Notamacropus eugenii: one gene and its partner. The protein of the gene in region 2 purifies or fractionates together with the protein of the main gene of each other region. This does not show direct contact. Links are inferred from orthologs where the notes say so. Each region holds a gene or a part of one and is shown on either strand. Other genes may lie near its edges.

What was found.
Region 1: the proteins of VIM (region 2) and SYNC purify together in Homo sapiens (affinity purification with mass spectrometry; 3 studies listed by BioGRID and IntAct, counting the BioPlex papers as one, with this or other methods). This does not show direct contact. The link is inferred for Notamacropus eugenii from reciprocal best matches to the Homo sapiens genes VIM and SYNC.

What each region holds. Positions count from the first base shown.
Region 1 is NC_092876.1:77,188,080-77,196,375, reverse strand, and holds the start of SYNC (syncoilin), read right to left. Parts: upstream 3,062-8,296; 5' UTR 2,918-3,061; coding exon 2,847-2,917; intron 1-2,846.
Region 2 is NC_092874.1:57,865,647-57,873,622, reverse strand, and holds the start of VIM (vimentin), read right to left. Parts: upstream 3,093-7,976; 5' UTR 2,733-3,092; coding exon 1,840-2,732; intron 1,151-1,839; coding exon 1,090-1,150; intron 1-1,089. UniProt on the Homo sapiens protein: Vimentins are class-III intermediate filaments found in various non-epithelial cells, especially mesenchymal cells. Vimentin is attached to the nucleus, endoplasmic reticulum, and mitochondria, either laterally or terminally.

The DNA.
Region 1 (8,296 bases), on a different chromosome or scaffold from region 2:
CAGGGAAACTGACAGCCAGTGTGATCTGGGTACACTGGCCACAAAGAGATGACAAGAAGATACAGGATATATTTTCTTTCTAAAGACTCTTTTAAGATCTAAATGAACTAAATGGTCATGAATCTAATTAATCTAAAAAAATGAATCTAAATGGTCATGCCCACAAGCAAAGTATTTCATAGAATGTTATGAACTCAATGGAACTTAATCCATGCTCTAGTTTTCCAAATTAGGAAACTGAGGCTCAGAGAGGGAGAATGATTTGCTTGAGGTTACACAGTAAGTGGAATAACTGGGATTTAGGTTCAGATCTTATACCTCCAAAGTCACTGCTCTGCCCACTGTGCCATAACACCTCTGTCTTGGAAAGAGAAATTCAAGATTTGTGACTAGGATGTAAGTCCTCACCATTTACACTCCAAATTCCTGGTAGAGGCCCTTCTTATTTCTTACCATTGTGGCCTAAATCCTTCTGTGTGACTCCCATGCACCCCTTTCTCTGCCCTTTGTCAGCCCCTGAGGAAGCCTTGAAGGGGAGACCCCAACAGGTTGTTCAGCTATATCTGTGCAGGAGAATCCAGCAGCTTTCTAGAACCTTAGAATTGGGAGGAACCAACCCTTCATTTTGTAGATGAAGAAGTCGAGGAAAGAGAAAGGATTTGATTAGTCATACAACTGGTAAATAGAGTCTGAACTGGAACCCAGGTCTGCTGGTTCCCTCTTATCCTTGCCCCAGTTACTGAATGGGCCACTGCAACTTTAGAAAAAGTTGTCTGGACACAGAATATATTTTGGAATTGCCTTGTTTACTCTTGAAGCAGTTGAGGAAGGAGCAGATCTTAGAAGAAAAAAACTCATTCCTCTTTCAAACATTTGTGCCTTCCAACGATATGAATTTCAATGATCCATGTTGTGGGCTGACTGAGTTACATCTTTATGTCAAGCTGGTTCTCCTCACTCAGTCCTCCCACCCCCCAGCTTCCCTGCTCAGCTATGAGATCATTAAAACTGATTTCAATGTTTCATTTCCCACCTCAAGATAAACTACTTTGCAGAGTGGGCCCTTGATAAATGCTGAATTGAAGGGGGAAATGCTGGCACAGTGGATAGACTGCTGGACCTGGAGTCAGGAAGACTCTTCTTCCTGAGTTCCAATCTAGCCTCAGACACTTACTAGCTGTGTGACCCTAGGAAAGTCACATTACTCTGTTTACCTCAGTTTCCTTATCTGTAAAAGGAGCTGGAGAAGGAAATGACAAACCACTTCCATATCTTTGCTAAGAAAACATCAGATGGGGTCATGAGAGTTGGACATGATTGAAATGACTCAACAACAAAAAATTGGAAAGGTAAGGCAGAGGCCTCTGATGTCACTGGTAGAAGGAACAGCACCTTCGCTGCATTTTAGAGCCTTAGCCAGTTGTCTAGGCTAGAGCACTGAGAAGTTAAGGGATCACAGGATCCCAGGATCACACAGACAAAATGTGTCAGAGGCTGGGCTTCCTGGCTCATGAATTTGCTGTCTACCACATCTTACTGATTCATTCCATTTAGCTCATGAAAGGCTTGTGGATTATCTGCGGTTTGGAATATCCATGTGCCCAAGGATCCTACCCCTTGTCATTAGTGTAGATAATTGAGAGATGACTCTGTTAGCTTCCAACTCTTTAATTCAGTGTCCTGTCATTTGGCAGGGGTATCTGAAAGATGGATGAATCCTTTAGGGACTTGGCTTCTTGTATAAACTGAGGGTCCAGAAAAGCTTTTTACACAGCAGCTCCTCTCCCTAAAGAAGCAAGTCCAGCATTGGAGGAGGGGCAGGATTATGGGAGGCTTCTGGTAGATGGGGAAGAATTTAGCTGGGACTATAAGGCCTATGACCTCGGGATTCATTTGGGTCTCAGGGAGCCTCCCTCTTCCCTGCCTAATCCTTAAGGGATTTTGTACCTTCGGAGTGTGTGTGTGTGTGTGTGTGTGTGTGTGTGTGTGTGTGTGTGTGTGTGTGTGTGTGGACAATTTCATCTTTCAGCCCCTGGGAGACTGAGGCCACTCAATCACTCAAGCCTCACCTCAGGGCCATGCCCTCCTGGGGCTCTGGTTAGCTGACAAGAGGGCGGAGAAGGGAGCAGTTAAAACCCGCCCTCTGAAGCTCGCTTTCCACAGGTAGAGCCTAGGCTCTCTCCTCTGTGTTTTCCCAAACATCGTTGGGCCCCAAAAGCAACAAGCTGAGTGAAGAAGCAACAAGCTGTGCCATCCCCCCACCCCCCGACACACACTGCTTTAACGCTGGCCAGGAACCAAGAGGCCAGGTGCAGGAGAACAGAGCGAAAACCCTCGGTAACTCGGGGCTCTGGCCTCCCTACTTTGTCTTAGGCAAGATGGGGGTGGGGGTGGGGGGCGGGAAAGGAAAGACCCTAGAACACAATAGGAGACCGGGTATTTGGCATTCCTGCCTTCACTGTGTTTGATGATTCATGCCCATCAGAAAGGACTGACTCCCTTTTGGGGGGAAGGTCCCCCAGAATAACACCAATCAGTTCTGCGAATACGCACCCGCACCCAGACGCCCGGGCTGGGCTGGGCTGGGCGCCGCTGCCCTTAGTTGAGTTTTCGGGATTTCCCGGTCCCCACCCCGGGGCCAGGCGCTGGGGAGCCCCGCAGCCCGGCTCTGCACATCCCCACGTTCTGGGCGGGGCCTGACACCTAACGGATCGGGGGAGGCCCTCGGGGTGGCGTGGGAGGGGGGAATGTGGAGAAGGGGCGAAGGAACGGGAAGTTTGGAGGAAACCAGCAGGTGGAGGAAGGCCGCTTCCCGAGCCCCAGCCCTCCCCACCGGGCAGTCCTACCTCTCCAGCCCAGCGGCTGCGGCTCCTTCCCCGCAGGGGCCGCCCTCCCGGGGCTCCTCCGCGCTGGCCATGGCTGGGAGGGTCTCATGGAAAGCTGCAGCCCCGGGTTATTAATATCCCGGCCAGTGCCTCGCCTCGCCGCCAGCTGCAACACCAGCTTGCAGCCCAAGACACCGGATCCCTCCGTGCTCCCTCCCCCCGCGGCGCGCCCACTTGGCTCAGCTTTGGCCTTGGGCCCAGGGGGCGGAGAGAAGCGGCCCTGGACTGGTCAGCCGGCCCTGCCCCGGAGCTGCCTGCCCCGGCTGGGTGGCGACTGTGGAGGAGGGGCCGCTGGGGCTGGGGGCGCCTTAGCGGGGAGTTGGGTCCAGACTGATCCACAGACTGATAGAGCTGTAGGGATCATCTCTAAGGGGTCCTTTGGGGGGGGGGAGGGGAGAAAGCCGCCTCCTTTTGCAGAAGACCGTGGCACAGACGTGGGAAAGACTTGCCCAAGGTCACTCAGCAAGTTAGTGGCAGAATCAGAATTAGAACCCGGTTCCCTGTCTTTTCTTTCAATATTCTTTCCTCTACCCCTACACCTCCTCATCACTTGGTTGGATAGGGAAGGAGGACTGGACTGCAGGTGCAGGAGAACGTGAAGGGGTGCTCCCGCTGCCTGCCCCATTCCCACTCCCTCACACAAGCCCCGCCCTCCACCTCTCCACACCCCACCCCTCACAGCTCAGGCTCCACCCTTGGGCTCAACACTTCCCCTTCGGATGATCCCTGAAGGGGAGGAGAGGGTACCACCTTCCTCTCCTACCCCACCCCTAACTCCTTGACCAATTAAAAGCTCCCTCAGCCTGACCATCCAGATAAAGCTGAAATGGCAAACGCTGATGAGACGGATGGCACCAAGACAGCTTGGCACCAAGCCCTGAACTCAAGTGACCCTCTCAGAGGCGATGCCATGGAGAGAGCATTGTTGTTTAGGTGCAGACTGGAGGAGATGCGCTCTGAGGTCCTTTCCAACCTGGATTCTTTGGATTTCTTTATACAGTAGGTAGGACATGCATGGAATTCATTACTCCAATAAATTTCTTTCATCACCTCAGTTATGGTAAATCTGAGATGGCTGAGGACAGTGGATCTTCCCCACCTTCTAGTGCAAAAGCTGGGCAGAGTTCATAGGATCTATACCCAAAAGGCACCTTGGCATCATCCAGGGTAATGTCCTAATTTCACAGAGAGAACTGAGGCCCAGGGATGTTAAATGGCTTGCCCAGGTCACACCAAGATAGAACATGGTGTTGTGAAAAGAACATTGTACTTGGAGTCAGTGGACCTGGTTTTAATTACGTGTGATGATATTTGGCTGAGAGACATAAAAACATGACTCCTTATAATTGAAAATAAGTTTGCTTGTTTTGAGACATGCCATCTCACCCAGACTGAAAGGGCAGCTGTCACTCATTCACAGTCCCAGTCCCACTTCTTATGGACAAGGAAGCTTTGACTCTATTTCTGGTTCAGCCCTCCTTAGGCAGATTGGCAGCTTACCAGCTTAGTGGCCACTCTCTCCTGGGGGCTCACTCTATACTGGTGCCAAATTTCATGTAGACATCCAAGTGACCTTCGTGCTACTGCAGCTCAAAACTCCCAGGCTCAAACAATCCACCAGCCTCAGCTTCCCTCAGCTGAGAATACCAGACTGTGCCCCACATGAGTCTGAAAATTAGTATTTTGAAGAGGACGGTGGAAAGACGCTTAATGAATGTGAGCAAGCTTCAATATATAACAAAGAACAGTACTGAAGGATATCATCAAGGGAATGGATATGTGAGAGAAAAGAGTTATGTGAGGAATAAAAGTGAATGGCACTGGTGTTCCATTGGTATTCTCACAATGTCAGGAGAAAGCCAGGAAGAATCCAAGAACCATGGGCAGCCCCACTATGGTGAATGAGCCTAGACCAGAGTCAAGGGCATGGGCAGCCGTGGGTAGTTAATGATCTGCATTGGGAGAATATCCAAGTCAATGAGATCTCAAGTCCATTCAAGTGTTTGAGTATGGACTCATATAAACTGATGCTGAACTAGGAAATATACTCACTGACTGACTTGATACCAGTGAAAGTAACTAAAATGCTACAAAACTCAGAGAAACTGAAATCGGTCTCAGTCTCATAGAAGAAAAGGAAGCATACATTCCTTCACTCCGTAGTCCTTTGTTAGTTGGGGTTTGCTCATGTTCAGCTTTATTATAAGGAAAGACTGGGGAAGGGAAAGAGTGACATACTGGTAAATGAATATTCAAATATATCTGTGATCTCAGTTCAGGAGTCCCCTCTAGCAAGGCAAATCCCAGCTCACTCATGCCTACCTATCCTCTGCCACTCTTGTCAATCCAAAGTACTAGAGGGTAAGTTCAGTTTAAAGAACTCTTGCCAAGATATCATTTGAGAATAGAAAGACAAGTGCAAACAGAAGAAAAGTGGAAACAATTTGCTAAAAACCACCATAAACTGTTTCCTCCATTGCGGTTAGTAGACCCACCATACTGGAGTCCTAACATCACAGTCCCTGAGGTGCTGATAGAAAATACAGAAATGGCAAAGAAAACAAAGATGAGGAAGGCAGTCAGATTGAACCAAGAATAAATAGAGGAGATAGAAACTGGTGTTTTTAGAAGGCACAAATAAAAGTTATTTAAAATAAAAAATATAATCAATATCGATCAATAAGGGTATCCTACAAGAAATAAAAGTGCTCTGTGATGAGTGTTTTGTGGGAGTGTCCATAGATTCCTGTGAGTCCTTTGGTTGTTTTCTTTTTTTTTTTTTTTGTGGAGTGAAATAAAGATTTTCCTAGCTCATATTCATTTATTGCCTTGAATGTTCATCCTTGGGGACCCCCAGCCACATTTGGGGAAATTAGACACAAGCTATACCTAACCTATTTTTAGAGGTTTCCCAGAGTAAACTCTAACTGGAGGTATAACAAGTCAAAAAAAGAAAGGATGACCTAATTGGGTAAGTGTTCTAGAACATTCTTGGATCCTATGAGCCCTCAAAGGGCTCTGGGGGGCTCTGGCCAAACATTGCATTTTGCTGTCTTCAGGAGTAAAGGACCGTATGGTTCCAAGATAAGCCATTTTTTCAGGGACTAAGCTACAGAATTAAGAAGGAAGAAAACTAAATGAATGAGGTTCCCCTCACTGGAGGTGTTCAAGTAATATACTGGATGACCACTCATCAGGCTACTGTAGAGGGGAATTTATGCTTCAGGGACAGGTTAGAGTATATTTCTTCTGAGTCTCTGTATGATAAAATTCTCTAGCCATTTTGGTGAGGGGAAGATAGGATTTTACCCAGATTTATATTCAGTTCACTGTCTATGTGAATGAAGTATAATGGGTTCTTAATAGGAAAAGAGGGACATGATCTCAAACAAAGCCCTAGCCCTTACCTCCGCTCTAACTGCCCACATGCACCTGCAAGTTGAGTTGTCCCACCAGGACTGATGAGGACTTGTCCAGAACCAGCCACACTTTCTCACTTGTCCCCCTTGTCACTGAAGGGATGTCATTTACCTGTCCTGTCCTCCCACCTCCCTCTAGCCTTTACTTCTCCCACATCTATTCTTCACTCTAATAATTCTCCCTGTTCTCCCCATCAATCCTGCTCTGGCCTCAACTCCCTCTCCTCCCCAGCCTTGATCTTATGGCCAGCCACTTCAATAATTCCTTGTCCTCTTTCCTTGAATTTGTCTTCTTCCTATTCTGCAGTTTCTAGATACTGCTAACCTCTAGTCCCACGTGGTTCCAGCTAAGTACTGCTGGAGGAAGTCACTAAATCATGCTGACAGGTCCATTAGGAATTTGAGTCTCTTCTCTCAGTTAGGCTCTCACTCCTGCGTGGCAAAGCTTTTATTCATTGTTTATAAAATCCTCGTCATTCTCTCCACAGCAGTCATTCCAAACTTCTCATCTCAGACTCCAGTTTTACTCTGTTCTCACTCTGAGCAGTATCTTTGCTAGCCACTTTAATGAGAAAATTGAGGCCATCCTACATGGACTACTCCAATTCCCATCTTTCCCTCCTCTGAATCTTTCAATGCTATCCTCTTCTGCTTTCCCCATCCTAGAGGATAAGGTGGCTTTCCTTCTTGAAAGAAAAAAACTAAATCCCTTCCCCTGCCTTAGATTCCATCTCCTGTCTGCTGCAGGTCTGTGCTCCATCAGTCATCCTTCTCTTGCTTCAGTATCTTTCTTTCTTTTTTATAAATTTATTTATTTTTAGTTTTCAACATTTATTTCCATAAGATTTTGAATTCTAAATTTTCTTCCTTCCCCAAAATGGCCTGAGATCTAATAGAGGCTCTACTCTGTTTAGTATCTTTCACCATGGCTCCTTCCCCTCATTCTACAAGAATTCTTAGTTCTTCCTTATTCTAAAATCAAATACAAAACAAGAACACATAAACAAAGACAAATCTCCAATCACTGAACCTTACCCTGGACCCTACCACTTCCTCAGGCTATTGTGCTATATGTCGCTCCTTCCCTTTTCTACCACACTTCTAGAAGCTGTAGCCTAATTGATTTCCTCAGTTTCCTGATCCCATACTCCCTCTTCAATACTTGATAGGCACCTCTGTCTTCACTGATGGAAGAAAGTTTACTGTTCAAGGTAATTAATGACTTCCTTGGTACTAAATCGAATAGTGTCCCTCTCCATCAAACTTGACCCTGTCCCCATCTTCTCTGAACTCTCTACAGTAATTAACATAGTCTCCTTCTTAAAAAAAATTGTTTCTATAGTTTGGCATCACCTACATTTCCTAATGTCTCAATAGAGAGGTGGGTGATTATAGGTAACTAATAGGCATGGTCCCTCTCTTGGCTGTATTCCCCTCTCAAAGAGCCATTTTAATAAAGAATAAAAAGGGGGGAGTTCAGTAAAATTAGCCAATATCTAAAAAGACTGAAATTATATATAATATTCCACACCCATAGTTCCCCATGTCTACAAAAAGCACTCTTGACCTCCATCTCCTTTTGTTTTTAACTTCCTTTTTCCTCTCTTCTTGATGTGTTTTTCTCCCTTGGTTTCCATGACTTGGTATTCCTATGGTTCTCCCATTTACCTGGCAGTGCCTTTCCCCTGACAATTTCATCAGCTCATCATCTCTCTCTTCCTTAAATATGGGTGTTCTCCAAGTTTCTATTCTCAGACCTTTTCTCTTCTCTCTACTCTCTCCCCTGGTGATCTCAACTATCCCCAAAGCTCCAGTGATTTCCAAATCTATATCTCCATTCCTATGCTCTCCTTTGAGTTCGGGTCCTAAATTTCCCACTACCTCCCGAACATCTGTGCCTGTCTGATGATGCTGATAGCTAGCACTCATAAAACACTTTGAAATTTACATAGTGCTTCACACAAATATGTCATCTGGACCCTAAAAAACCAC
Region 2 (7,976 bases):
CTCCAGGGCTGGTTCTCTAAGCACTGTTGCCACCTAGCTGCCCCTTCATTTTCCATTCTCTTCATACAGCCTCAGATTTCTCAAAGTTCTGGAGCATAACATATCTGTTTTGAAAATGCCACTCGAAACCCAAGTTTAGCTTTCTACTCTGTTACCCCTCACCCATGAGAACACCTTTTTAAAGAAAAACTTTTCTGGAAAAGGAAATTACAAACAAAAAGATAGAAGAGGGGTCCTATCAGGACCAACTCTGACTAAAGTCCTTTGAAAAGTTCTAATGTCATATCTAATGTGCTGCTCAGGTTTAAGTATAACTTTCTCTTATAAAATACTCGTCTCCAATTAAAAGTGATTACATATTCTGTAAGAATGCAGCCTGTTGCAAGCTTTCCTGTGAACACAAAGACTCCTATTCTTTCTCTCTAGGCGACCCCACTTCCCAGAAAGTCTCTATCTACATTCCATAGTGAATCCCATAGAAACCACTAATACTCTATAGCCAGCTGGACAGATGGCTCCTTTTCACCCTTATTAAGATAAAAAAATAGTTGTGTGTGGGAGCCCTTTTGTTTTATGCCCCATCTAGTTTGCTCTACAATAGGACTCCCCCTTTTCTCTACCTCCCCTCCCCCATCTAGTTTCTGTCTTGATTCTATTTATTCACAGCAAGTCCTTCCTAAAATAACATTTATTTTACTTTTTGAACCACTGTGTGTTGCACTTCTTTTGGCTTGGAAACAATACAAAAATGTCAAACTTCTTTGACTGCAGCAAATAGCAATCCCACTCAAATTGAGGTTGCTCAAATCTGCGTCTCAGAACGCAAGGGAAAAATGAAGACTGTCCCGTTCTTTGAAAACTTGAAACAAAGTTAAAAGCTAAGGAGGATTATATTACCGGCCTTTGTATTCTCTGGTGACACCCAGGCCAATCCCCCAGTTCCTGGGGAGCTTGGATCTGGCACCTGGCCGCCGCTAGAGGGCTGCGCCAACAGACTGGAAGCTGTTCGAAGCCCAGTTGGGGTTAAGGACCAACTTTTAGAACTGCGTGTCCGATGGACAAAGGTGGCGGGGAAGGAAAGCTACAAACCTGTCTGAAAGACTGCAAGGTGCTCTCGGCTTCCTCTCTCTGCATCATCTCCTCTTGCAACCTGAAAGAGTGACACATCAACCAAGGAGGAAGCGGGAAACCGCCAACTGGGCTGGACAGGCCACACCCAACCACCCCACCCCACCCCATCCCCGGGGGAAAGAAGCAATTCTTCAAGGGTAGACCGCTAACTTGGGCTCTTTCTCCTGGGCTCCTTTGAGGGAGTGGGGGCTGCAGCACCTTGGGGACCCTCTGAAGTGAGACTCGGAGAAGTGAGCAGCTCAGTGAGGGTGACCAAGGCCGTGGCGTCATTGCCCTTTGTCTCGCCTCCCTCCCTCTGGCCATAATTTTCTTTTTTTTTTCCCGAGGCTCTTCGGAAAAGAGGCAAGGAAACTTGGGGAAAAGTTAGTGAAACTCTTTCCCGCCTCCAACAAGGGGAGAGTTAAGAGATAGGAGACATTCGAGCAACTTTTTAAGGCCAGTGCATGGTTAGAATAGAGAGGGAGCCGTGGAGAGCTGCAGGAGATGAAGGGCGGGGCGACCTCCACACAGATGCCAGACCACAGTCCCCTACTTCTCTTCCTTCCCCAGCCCGGGCTCCCTCTCCTCCCCACCCCCCACCCCCACCCCAGGGCCCAAGGGCGTGGCAGCCCCAGAACAGACCGGGGATGGAGCCGCCAGTCTGCATCCCTCCTCCTCCCCACCTAGGTGAAAGGGACAATGGACCCCGGCCAGCTAGCACGCTCTTACTTCTCGCGGAGCCGCATGATGTCCTCGGCCAGGTTGTCCCTCTCCACCTCCACCCGGGCTTTGTCGTTGGTAAGCTGGTCCACCTGCCGGCGCAGCTCCCGCATCTCCTCCTCGTACAGGTCCCCCAGGCGCGACTTGCCCTGCCCTTTGAGCTGCTCGAGCTCGGCCAGCAAGATCTTGTTCTGCTGCTCCAGAAATCGCACCTTGTCGATGTAGTTGGCGAAGCGGTCGTTGAGCTCCTGCAGCTCCACCTTCTCGTTGGTGCGGGTGTTCCTGAACTCGGTGTTGATGGCATCGGCCAGAGAGAAGTCCACCGAGTCCTGCAGCAGCCTCACTCCCGGGATCGGGGCGCTGCTCCTCAGGCGCACGGCCGACGAGCGTGTAGCGTACACGCCACCTGGGGAGGACGAGTACACGCTGCGGGTGCTGCTCGGCCGGATGGCGCTGCCCAGGCTGTAGCGGGTGGTCGAGGTCACGTAGCTGCGGCTGGAGCTGGGCCGGCCGCCGGCGCTGCTGCCGCCGAACATCCTGCGGTATGAGGAGGAGGATACGGACCGGGTGGACATGGCTGGAGGGCTGCTGCGTGGAGCGCGACCCGCGAAGAGAGAGGGGCGGTGGCGGTGGCGGCGGCGCTGGCTGCAGCTAAGGCGACAAGAGCCGAGAGACTGGAGAGGCAGAGAGCGGGACCCCGCTTCGTGGGCGACTCTTATATCGGCGGAGGGGGCCCCCGCCGTTGGCCAATCCCCGGCTACTCGCCAGCCAATGGGGACCCAGGGAGAAAGGACAGAGTAGGGAGGGTACGGGGAGAGGGTGTTCAGGGGTGGGGTCAGGGTGGGCGGAGGTGCCGCCCTTAGCCCTCCCCCGTCTCCCCCAAACTGGGCGGAAAGCCCCATCCCGTTACTTTTGGGGCTGGGCTCGGAATCCTGCTGATTATCCCCCGCAGGAGGGGGGTGATTCTCACCTTTGGGCACATTGACAAAGTAGGAGAAAGCTTAGAGGAAGTTGGGGGACCCACTCAGAACGCGACATTGGAAAAGGAGGAGAGAGGTCTAGGAGACTCTTCCAAAGAGGCGTAGTAGGAGGGGGTGGGAGGGGCACCTTGGTTTCCAGCCAAAAGGGCGAAAGGGAGGCCCGAGGAGCCAGAGGGACTCTGCCAGGAAGGACCAGAGTGGCGAGACCCTGGCCAAGGGGGAGGAAAGGCGGGGGGAGAGTGATTTCTCGGCCATAAGGGAAGGAGGCAGCGAGAAAGAAAGAGCCTGAGATTTGGGAGGAGGGAGAAGGGGGCGTGCACTCGAGAAAATGAAGTTGTTCAGGCATTGTTACTTCCCCTTTGTGCCAAGCGGAAGAAGAGGGATGGGCCCATTTCTGCGAATTCATTTATCCTGCTGGGCCGTCCTCGGTGTCTAGGGACCCTGCGGGTTTTGTCCGGAATCGGACGGTCTGGAGTCCGAGGGAGGGGAGGCGGTAGAGCAGGATGGAAGGAATGCGGAGGGGGAGGAGGGGGGAAGGGACCGTGAATCACTGGAGATGAATCACTGGGCCGTGGTTGCTTGGAGAGGCTCGTCTCCAACGCTCAGCTTCAGAAACCGTTAGATAAACTCTCTCCTCCGGTCTGGATGCGCTCATTTTCTACCCAACTTAGAGACAAGCAACTACTCTGAGCTGTAGCAGACGATGTCTATGTGCCCCCCCTTAAAAGGGCCCCCTCCTGCCTGGGTACTGCTTCTCACTCTTCTATCCTGAAGAGGGCTTCGCTCCAGGATGAAGGGGTGTGGCTCCATTCTTACTAGGAGGACATTTCTGTCGATTTGTGCGTCTGAAGAGCCTGAGTTAGGGGGTATCCACCCATCCCCTCTAGGTATACGGAAGGGGAGAATCTTCAAAGTGTCCACGTTTCAAGCCTGTGTTTGGGCCGTTCTCCTTCCATGAAGTAAATCTTTTAAATGATCAGAAAGTTTTATGTAAGAAGGAAACCATATAAAGTTAACCTTCCCTTCCAAAAAAGCCATGTTTTGAAACAAGCCTTTCAAAAGCAAATTGAATTGACTGATTTTCTCATTTTGTAGTAATATCCAGAAACTATTTCGGAGGTATAAATATAGCTCCATTAAAAGATTAATGAAGTGCTAACCCTTAAGACCAGATTTAACTAATGAATTATTTTAAATGGGAAGCAATTATACCACAAATGATGAAATAGGGATGTTTGCAAGAACGTAAAGTTTGTATTGCGAGTAGTACAAAACATTACAGCTTCTCATTTTAAAAGTGCCACCGATATGGAGAAATGATACCGGCTTATGAGCAATCGTAGAATATTGCAGGTTCTTCTGCTCCTTGGCTGTGAGATGGGTTGGGGGGTGAGAGGGAGTCATGGAATTAACATAGGAGCCAAGGACCCTGATCCAGGAAACCAGAGGTCCTGTCATGTACCAGTACTAGGTAAATGATAAGAAGCTCAATGTGATGTTAGAGATTAATAAGACAGAACTCAAACATTTTGCCATTAACTATCTAGTGAGGTTAGAACAGTGTTGAACAGTGGGGACGATAGGCATGAAGTAACAGCTTAGAAGCTACAATTATCCTAGTTTTAGAATGATTTTAATCCCTTGAATTTTAAATCGTAAAACTTTAAACCCTTGAAAGCATTAACTAAAGGACTACTACAAAAATAAATGCATCTTGACGCTCCTAGGGATACAGAGAGGAAAAAAAGTAGGATCCTGTTTTCTTTTTCCCTTTGGATGCTGAAAGTTACCTGTATTTAAGGAATGTAGTTCAGAGTTAAATAAAGAAGTTTATTATGGGTCTCTTTCTACAAGCCTCTTTCAGTCAAGACTGTAGTTTGTTTTCCTCATTTCAGTTAAATTGGGCAAATGGAGCTGACAAGGTTGAGCTGTGAGAGCATTTGAAGCACAAATCTTGCACTGTGGCTTTCTTTATTCATGCTTTCCCTGGGAGGCGAGGGTCACACGAAAAGAACATTCCTGGGGCTCACTGTACTGGCAGAGCAGCCTGTGTTCCATGTTACCATCCTGTTTTCTGAGAGGTCTTTATTTTAACTGCTGCTTAGGAAATGTAAGTCCATTGTGAGGTTGCCTGGAACCCTTAGAATAAGAAAGCCTATCTATCACCCCATAAGGGAAGAAAAGGGGGTAAAGGCTCTGTCCACCGTATAGAAGAAACTAACATTCTATATTTAAAAAACTGTTCAGCCAAGTTTAGTGTTCTGTACCTCCTGGGAACTCTGTGAATGCTTATTGACTGACTCATTGGCAGAAGATAAACCTCTGAATAAACCGAAAAGAGATTTTGGTGAGGTTTGACAGTATTATTTTTAAAAAGGTCGAGAAAGTCCAGCTTGCATTCTTTATGTTACCAGTATCCTTCTTTTCACCACTTCTCTTCAATTAGCTGTGATTTTTTTCAACATTTGTTTTGACAACATGTTTGGCATGTCCTAGTACCGCTCTTATTCTGTGGACTTTCTGGCAAATTACAGAACCACAATTACAAAGGACCCCAGAAACTACCATCCAGTCCATATCTGGACAAGATCGCTGTCTACAGGATCTAACAAGTGCTGATTCCCCCATCCATTTTAAACCCTCTGGAACTGGAGAAGCCAATACCTGTTGCTTACTATCTATGTGTCCTTGGGCAGTCATGTCTCCCTGAACCTCAGTTTCCTCAGCTGTAAAGTGAGAAAGTTGGACTAGATGACTTTGAAAGACCATCTCTAAACCTATTATTCTATGACCTCTGCAAGCAGCACATTTCACTTTAGCATTGCTCTAATTTTGGGAAAGCTTTTCTTACATCAAGGACATCTTTGCCTCTTTATACCTTCCACTCATTTTTCCTACCTCTGCTCCCAGGGTACAAAGAGAACAAATCTAAGCATTCCACCATGTGGCAACCCTTCAAATATTAGAAATTGGTTATCATGTCTTCAATAAGCTTTCCCCCCCTCCATACCAAATATTCCCAGTCCACTAGGCACACTTTCCTTTATTCCATCAGAAATCACCTTAAAGTTTGACGCGATTACTGTGAGAAACACTTTTATGCATTTATTTCAAGAGCCTGGCAGGCTTTAGCAAGTGTTGAATTAATTCTGAAGCAATAAATACAGTGTCCAGTAGAATGTTTAGCACACAGTGGGCACCTAACAAATATTGCTGATTTATTAAATATAGTAAAAATGGATGTATCTAAGATGGATGTATGTAATGGATGTATCTTGCCTTAAATGCAAGAACTAATCCTATGTTCTATCTAATTTTCTTGATGACAAGGAAACTACTGACTTCATTCTTACATTTTTGGGGGAGATTACTGTGTAAGCCTCTTCAGAAAGCATTCAAATGTTATTTCATGTACTAATGAAGAGAAAGAAACAAGCTTTGAAATGATAGAAAGCAAAGCAATTTATAAGACTGAGAGATGTAGGGTTGGTACTACTCTTATCTAAACTGTGTACTTCTGGTGCCTAGCATGGTGTTCTACTCACTGAAGACAGCTAATAAGTGTTTGGTATTCCTTTTGCTTTGAATTTGATTGGATCATAATTAATCAAAATAATTGAAGACAGAAAATAGTATATTAAATGTTCAATCAGTTCTTAGAATTTGAACGGGTTGCCTTGTGCTCCATAGGAGAATGCCCATATTAGTGAAATCACAAAAGTCATCGAAATATTCAAATTTCAGACTGTTGACTCATTTGTAGCTTGTGGTCCACTAAATCCCCCAGATTTTTTTTCCTACAAATCATTGACTAGCCACATGTTCATTGTCTTGAATTCATGAAGCTAACATTTTCAAGAGAAGTGTAAGCCTATCTACTTAGGGCTTTTAAATCCCATCTTATTAGACTCAGCCTAATATTCTGGTCAGTCCAGATCTTTTGGATCCTGACTTAGTCATTCAACTTGTTAGCTTTTTCTCCAAGCTTTTTGTCATCTGGAATTTTGGTATGCCTGCCATCTGTGTATTTGTCCAAATCATTGACAAAAAATGTCAAACAATCTCTGGGTCCAAGTACAGATTCCTTAGGCCCTCCATTAGTTTTGATATAAAATCTTTAACTCATTTAAGCTTGGCCATTCAACCAGTTTTTAATCCATCTGACTGTAACACCAGTCAACTAGCATTTATTCCAGGGACAACTCCAAGTACTAGGAATACAAAGAAAGACCAAAAAGAAAATAGTACCTACCCTTAAGCAACTCAGAGTCTAATGGGGAAGAAACATATAAATCAAACAAGATAGATATAGGATAAATTTGGAGGTAACATCTATTCCTCAGCTGAAGAACATAAAACTTCATCTACAGCTGATCTACTCATCAAGTAACGCTGTCACAAAAAGAAGGAAAATAGAAGTAGTCTGGTATGACCCATTCTTGATGAAACCATGCTGATTCTTTGTGATAACTTCTCCCTTTTCTAGATGTGCATTAACTCACCCTTTGAGAACACATTAGTTCCATATATACAAAAATATTTATAGCAGTGTTTGTCACAGAATCACAGAATTTTAAAGTTTTATAGAAGCAAATAACTAGAAATACTTTGGGATCTCATCATTCATTTGACTAGTGACTAAGAAAGTGGTGACAAATGATATAATGGAATATCATTGTGCCATTAGAAATTAAAAATATGAGGAATTCATAGAAACATGGCAAGGCATATGACCTGACAGATCGATATAAGTAGAACCAGAAAACCATGTGTCAATCATTCAGCAAGCATTTATTAAGTGCCTAGTATGTGCTAGGAGATGTGATAACAGTAGGGATAAAAAAGCCAAAACAACATATTTTCTGACTTCAAGAAGCTCAAGTCCTGAGCTTCAAGCCTTCAGGGTGGATTGAAAGAACAGTAAAATGAACATGAGCAGTGTGAAATTGTAATAAGTTTTGCTCCAGTGAAGAGATGAGAATGTATCTTCTCCTTTAGAAGAAGTGAAGGACAGTGGATGTGAGATGTTGTATAAACTTTCAGGTATGATCAATGTGTTGTTTGATTTCACTGAACTGTTTTTAGTCATAGGAAGGCTCATGTGGTAATAGATACAGCAGTGGCAGAGAGATATTTTCAGAAATAAATGTACTATTAAAACCAAAA